Bombyx mori: one gene and its partner. The protein of the gene in region 1 binds, or shares a complex with, the protein of each later gene. Links are inferred from orthologs where the notes say so. Each region holds a gene or a part of one and is shown on either strand. Other genes may lie near its edges.

What was found.
Region 2: mediator of RNA polymerase II transcription subunit 16 (region 1) and mediator of RNA polymerase II transcription subunit 20 share a complex: the UniProt entries of both Drosophila melanogaster proteins name them as parts of the mediator complex. The link is inferred for Bombyx mori from reciprocal best matches to the Drosophila melanogaster genes MED16 and MED20.

Annotation. Positions count from the first base shown.
Region 1 is NC_085108.1:235,801-239,560, reverse strand, and holds the start of mediator of RNA polymerase II transcription subunit 16, read right to left. Parts: upstream 2,851-3,760; 5' UTR 2,695-2,850; coding exon 2,633-2,694; intron 2,195-2,632; coding exon 2,017-2,194; intron 1,279-2,016; coding exon 1,146-1,278; intron 617-1,145; coding exon 487-616; intron 1-486. Other genes in the region: neogenin, read left to right, coding at 3,289-3,373. UniProt on the Drosophila melanogaster protein: Component of the Mediator complex, a coactivator involved in the regulated transcription of nearly all RNA polymerase II-dependent genes.
Region 2 is NC_085134.1:1,812,973-1,816,732, reverse strand, and holds the start of mediator of RNA polymerase II transcription subunit 20, read left to right. Parts: upstream 1-1,292; 5' UTR 1,293-1,328; coding exon 1,329-1,462; intron 1,463-3,760. UniProt on the Drosophila melanogaster protein: Component of the Mediator complex, a coactivator involved in the regulated transcription of nearly all RNA polymerase II-dependent genes.

The DNA of each region.
Region 1 (3,760 bases):
ATAATGTATGACAGAATTGTTCCCCTTTAAAAGACCTAAAAAAAAGTCCGGGACAGCATATGCCTATATGTGAAGGTTGGCTCACCATAATGTTTTTTATGCTAACCAAATTTGTTCTAAAATAAACCATTATTTGTGAACTATTTCACGCGGACGATGTCGCGGTCAAAAGCTAGTCTTGGATAATTGGATAAATCTAATAAGAAGCAAAACAGAAAAAATGGGCTAAATTAGAAACTGATTGGTTAAAAGAACTACCGTTCTAAAGGTGGGTAGACAACATAAAGGCCATTGCAGGTTCTACGTGGAAGAAGAAATGTCACGATCACGACAAATTACATTAATAGTATGTACCTAAATATGCATTAAGATTGTTAATAAAGGTTTCTTTATCTTTATAATTAGATTAATTGTCAGAAACAATAAGTAGCTCTGCAGTCTGTTTTGCACCTACTGAGAGATTGCACAAGCTCCCGATACACTCACCCGAATCCCTTGAGAGTAGGAGAGAACCGAAGCATTTGTATTTTTTCAGGGATAACCGCATCTGATTTTTTATCCACGGCCACCACACGACGTCCATTGTGGAAAAAGGCCCCTTGGATTATGTGTTCTCCTGAAATATTTTGTCATTTATTGACAAAAATGAAAAATAAAAAACAAGAAAACATCTTTATTGATATGGCCTTGAAAAGAATCTTTATTACATGTTTATAACTTATTAAGATCTATTCAAAGAAATATTTTTAAAAGCCACCACTCATCATGAGACATGGGACCAGAGTCATGTTGCAGTGACAGCTATCCCAAACATCAATTGGAGCCACATTATGTCTCATGATAGAACAGACAGGGCGATGGTACCAGAATATGAAAATGTTGACTATCTAAGCGTTTAAATAAGGGCTGAATTAAGTTTGCACTTAGAGAGCCATCTGATCTTATATGTTCTTAGGTACCACAAACAACCCCTATGCATAAATCAATTAAAAAAGTTGACTCAAAATTACATTAAAGATTTTAAAATAGCAATGCATTTAGTGTACGACAACATCAGAGAAGTGGCAGTAGTCGTAATGCTTTAAGATAAACAATTTTACTAAAATAACTAGTTTTGTACTTAGGTAGTTAAATTTTTATCTTACCAGGGAAGTTAGCACTGTAAAGACATGTCCAATCATTGAGGAGGAAGTCTTTCTGTCCATAGACAGACACATCACCCACTGTAGTGGCTACTAACAACTGTTTGCCTTCCAGGTCCCACTCTAGAGCTGACACCTGGAATTTGTATCCATTATTTTATTAGAACATAGTTGCATAAAGAAACAAAGTTGTAAGAGTATTTCCATACAAACTTTTAGATAGCTTAATGTATTTTTCCGAACCTATAGACCGTATAAAATAGTATGGTCATCATTTGAGTATAAAATTTGACAGCAAACTTCAAAATTTTGGCAGCACAGGGTTTGAGAATCACTGCTATAAACTAGTTTTTAGATCATTTTGTTAAATAATTGAAATTGTTGATGTGGATATCAATTATAAGTAAGAAGCATATATCATCACAAATACTAAGTTATGAAGAAGTTACAAATATGAGTAAATCATATCTGTAAATCATGAGTAAATCATATCATAACCACAGTGAAATCAATTACTGTAGATCCTAAAATATTGATAATATGAACAGATTGACATTTGATAGCATTAATGTAGATGTGTGTAAGGTTTAAAGAGTCTCACTGAATATTTCTCCAACATAATGATGGTAGGCAATGACGATCATCTGACACTGTTTATCATCTCCCGTAATTGTTTAACTCTTGGTGAGTGAGCTGGTCTGTTCACTTATGCGAACAAAACCTGGCCACATAGGGTTCTAGTCTACTATTTGATATGGAAACTCATTAATAGTGTTAATACATAAAGAGCTCATTTGGTTGTAAAATTATACCACTTTTGAATAACTGATCTGTATCACATAGTTTCATTATACTTTTACTATTTCACACTTACAGGATAAGCTGTACTTGTAACTTTGTGACTGTTCCATGGGGTATCTAAGTCACATACATACACATGACCTCCCCATGTTGCTCCGTCCACATCACTAAGCTCTGTCGGTGATGAGAATGCTATGATATTTGCACATGATATTGTACATATTGGTCGGACTACTTCAGAGTCTTTTACACTAGAAATAGACAACATTATTAAGCATTGAGTTTATGTAACACCAAGAAACAGAAATAATGTTTTACAAACAGAACACAGAACGCATGGGACTATTTTAAAATACTTGAATTTTATGTAGATGTGATAAGTTCTAAAGTCAGCTCTTTTTATAATATACATCCATGAGCTGAGCAGTCTCCTATTACTTTTCTCCTTAATTTGTTATTTTTATCCTTTTAGTGTTTTCTTATGATGGAAGGCATCATGAACAACGGTAACTTAAAAAATAAGTTGATGTTACTGCCGTTAAAGATATCTTAATTTGTAAACTCTTGTTGCGAGGAGATGGTCACGACCCTCAGTATTGAGGAAACCGAAGCAAGAAGAAGAAGAATTTGTAAACTTTAGTAAATTTGGATAGAAATATAAACTTTTGATATAAATTTAAACTATTTACTTTTCGAAGTGCGGAGGTTCACATTTAAGTGGCTTGCGTCTCATAGAGTATATTAGCTCCATTACAAACTACCGCGGACTGCGGTTAGCGATTTGTGAACGAAATGTTTAATGTTTATTAAAATACGCATGTAAAGCAGGTTGGAAATTTGAAGTTAATAAGATTGCAAAAACTTTATTTGTTGATACCTATCACGTCAGTTTTTAAAATGTGTCAAAATGACAATAACGTTTTATTATTGCTTGGATCTGAATTTATATATTTATTTGTGGAAGTACCAATTGTATGTAACGAATGATAAAAGGATTATACGTATTTTTGGTTGGCACGGATTATATTTATTTTTTAAATGTTTTGTCTCCTAGCGATTTCGAATTTCATATTGTATGTCAGAATTTCCATTGCCAATTCCATTTCTCGTTTGACAGAAATCAACGAAGTGTACTAACTTCAGGGCGCTCCGTTTCGTCCCGGGCAATGCCCTTTCAATATCGAATTGTTTCCGAACGTAAGTGGACATGAAAATGGCGGATCGCGTAGTATCGCTCCGAATTCGTTATCTGTGAACTTTAACATAAATATTTTTGATTTTATGTGAAAATGTGATAGTTATGAATTAAAACCTCTAGTGCAGTGGTCTTCTATTGGTTTGAACCATGTTTCGGACAGGGATCGTAGCTTACGGCGTGAGAAACTGGATATTCTTGTGGCTGTCGCTACATTTGTTTACATACGTTCAAGGTAGGCTCCTTTCATGTAAAATACGGCATTTATTATCGATCCATTGTCTTCAAGTAACTGTGAGCTTGCCTGCACATGCCAAGTTAAAATATTCGAGAACTTTGGCATAAGTCATTTAAAATAAGGAAATTATTTACATTTGGATTTAGTTTCTGAAGCGTTTTATTTACTATCTTGCAAATCTACCTAATTTAAGTTTAGTAAGTATTTATGTCTCTCTGACGCTTTTAGAGCGGTTGTTAATAAAATTTATGAGGATGTGTACGGCTTGGGCGCGGTATATATTTTATTACTTTTGGACTAAAGTTATGAACTTTTAATAGAAAATATGTCTTCTTCAATAATACTTTCTGTTTTACGGTCAAAAGTGAAGTTTTGTTATTTTTA
Region 2 (3,760 bases), on another chromosome or scaffold:
GATTCAATCAATCCATATAATGCTCTCTTTAGTTTTAATGCTGTATTATTATTTTTTATTTCTAATCCTTGGGGTATTTTGATAAATACATCAGACTTCAATTTTCCATTTAGGAATGCAGTGGGAATGTCTAGTTGAATAATCTTTAAATCATCTTGTACAGCTTTTGATAAGATCATTCTTATGGTAGAATGTCTAGCAACGGGTGCATAAACGCTGTCAAAAATATCTTTTTTCTTTTGTTGGAAGCCTCTAGCTACCAGTCTTGCCTTTTTTGTTCCATCTTCTTTTAGTTTAAATATCCATTTTGTATCAATGAGCTTTCTTCCATCGGTTATTTCTTGTTCTTCCCACGTTTCTAGTCTTTGGAGTGCATCTAGTTCTTTATTGATTGCGTTTTTCCATTCTGGTTCTTTTATAGCTTCTTCGAAAGTTTCTGGTGCATTTGCACTCAGACATATAACAATATTAGTTTCATTTATGTTTTCTATATTCGTCTCGTAATCTTTAAGATAAGCAGGAGGATTTATCGTTCTTTTGGGTCTGATTATTGCTTCTTCAATTTGATCAGTGTTCATTTCTGCATCTTTAAATTCATCTTCCTGTTCTACAATATCTTGCTTTTCTTTATTGATTTCTTCTTCTTTGTCTTGAATATATCTAACTTGTTTCACTTCTTCTTTGTTTTTGAATTTAATGTCGCTTTCATCAAATCTTACATCTCTGGAAATAACTATTTTATCTTCTTCTGGATCCCATAATCTGTAACCAACAGTTCCATAACCTACCATTCTTGTTTCTTTTGCTCTCTTGGCAAACTTGTCCGGTTTGGGTACTATAGTAGCCCAAGCTTTGGAACCAAATACTCTCAATCTCGATATGTCGTTTTTACCAAAAAATATTCCGCTGGGTGTCTTGAAGCTTATGGCCCATGATGGCGATCTGTTTAATTGGTAAACTGCACATTGTATTGCTTCGCACCACAGATGTTTTGGCAAATTGGTTTCCGCTAATAGAGTCCTCGTTTTGTCGCATAATGTGCGGTTCATTCGTTCTGATATGCCATTAAGTTGTGGCGTGTACGGTAATGTGTATTCTAAACTAATACCTCTATTTATGCAAAAAAGTTTCAAACTGTTAGCAGTGTACTCTCCACCATTATCGCATCTAATTCTTTTAACTTTATTCCCCGTTTCGTTTTCAATTCTTAATACATAGTTCATCAGTCGTTCTGTTGCTTCAGATTTGCTCTTCAGGGGATACACTACGCAAAAATGAGAGAAATCGTCAATAATTTTCATAAAATATTTTTCACCATTAGGTCCTTGATGTCTGATCGGTCCTGCTATGTCTGTGTGAAGCATCTCGGCTGTCATTTTTGTTCTAGGCTTTGGGATAGGCGTGAACGGGCTTCGGGTGGCTTTGCCCTCCATACAAGGACTGCAAATTCTATTAGATACAGGTAAGTTTAGTATATTAAGGCTTTTCCTATTTAAGTGACCTAAACGTTTGTGCCATAGATCTGTCGCATCAGTAATATTACAGACTTCGGACTTACATAATTCGGCTTGTAGCTTATACAACTTTCCTTGCACGATGCCGCGTAAAAATGTCTTTTTATTAAATATTTTAACATTGTATTTATTAAAGTTTATGTTAAAACCTGCCTCGACAATCTTTTTTACTGATAATAAATTGTATGAAACATCTTTCACAATTAGAGCATCAATATTAATCGTAGTATTTTGATATTTTACTTTAAGTTTACCTCTTTTACTAGTTGTAATACATTGGCCGTTAGCTACGAATATTTTGACATGTTTATCTAAATACGTAATATCCGTCATATAATTTTCATATTTTTCATTTATTAAATGCTCCGTACATCCTGAGTCTATAATTAGTTCTATGTTACCACATTCACCCACATTAGCAATAATATCGCTAGCAATGAAACCTATTTCTTTATTTTCTGTGCCTGCTGCTGAAGCATGTTGATACGTTGTATGTCGTGAACTTGAATTTCCTCTAAATGAGCGTCCACACGATCTTGGATAGCTCCGTCCTCGTGTCAATGACTGTCCTCTACTCGGCGCTTGTCCTCGTCCTGATCGGCATTCGAATGATTTGTGTCCACGTTTTCCGCAGGAGTGGCACGTGATGAAGGCATTATTCTCATAACCTTCACTATTTCTGTCCATTTTTAACTTTGTCTCCATATCGAGTAGTCTTGCTTTAACAAATTCTATGTTCAGTTGTTTCTCGGAACCCATAGTCTCAATTGATGTAATTAATTGATCGTATATCTTTGGTAAAGAAGACAGCAGATAGCAAATTTGGTCTTCTACTTCGACGCTTACGTTGATTGCCGCTAATTCGCTAAGAATTCCTTCAAATTTTAGGAAAAATTGCTGTAAGTTGCTTTCATCATCATAGCACATTGTTATGAGTTTCCGTTTTAAATAAAATTTATTACAGACTGTTTTTCGTTCAAATATGGCCTCCAATGACGTTAGCATTTCTTTTGTCGTATTCGCATTTTTTACGATGTAAATATATTTGTCGCTCAGACATTGTACCAAAATTGATTTTGCTCGTGAGTCATCCTGATCCGTCGGTTTCTCTTTTAAGAATACATTGCTTAATTACTTTTCTTCCAGCAGTAATTTCAATCTAAATTTCCAATGACTAAAATTTGAATTTTCAGTCAAAATCGGCAGAAGAGACCTCGCAGTTGTCATCTTTCTTTTTTATAATTTTCGCCGATATTATTTCTAGTGGATCGCAACCCAATATATTTTTATTTACTTACTGCACACGCGGTCTGCTACCATGTTAAGATTTTATATGAAAGAATAAGCAGACTCTTTTTATTATCATCAGTTATATTTTATTCACACGACACAATCTTATTAAGTAGAGAATGTATCCATGGTAGCGAGTCAACATTACTAGTGCGGCGACACGCAGCTAGTGCTATATCTCAACATGTAAGATAAGGACTCAGTCGATACTGTTAGTAGTTTCTCGGGTTCTTTTAAAATTATCTTTGAATTCTCACCAAATTCTAACTATTTTAACTAGAGATTCTTTTATTTCATCTCATCCAAAAACTATGGTGTTGTCTGTTATCATTGCCTTTAATCTTGTCCCATTAGGTACTAATATTATAAAGAGGAAAGATTTGTTTGTTTGTTTGTTTCGAATAGACTCCGAAACTACTGGACCAATTTGAAAAATTCTTTTTCCATTAGAAGCCGACATTGTCCCTGATGAACATAGGCTAATTTTTTTTAATTTTTTTTATTTTATTTTTTTGGTTTCATGTGTGTTTTAATGTTTCCGAAGCGAAGCGAGGGCGGGTCGCTAGTTAGGTATAATTTCTAATAGATAATGTAGATTTTCCCACCGTCTAGTATCCGAACTTCTTAAAAACAGTCTGTCAAGTGTATTGGGATCCAAGCGGTTCCGCTCATCACTTGCGTTATTGCAGGCAATTGAAGCGCTCTCACAAGGTAAAGATGATGCCTCAATACTCATATACATCATGGCTCTGTTAGCACATCCCACTTCTCCTGGATGAGCCTTTGCTCGCCCACATGTCCTGGTGAAACTGGAAAGGCCTCTGGCCCACCAGTGATCCCTCATTCATAAAAGAAAAACATGGCTATTGAGTGGACGTAGTGTTAGATGGTTTTTTTTCTTCTTTTCTTGCCAGTGAAGTATGTGGTCATACTTCAGGTACACAACTGCCTGCAAA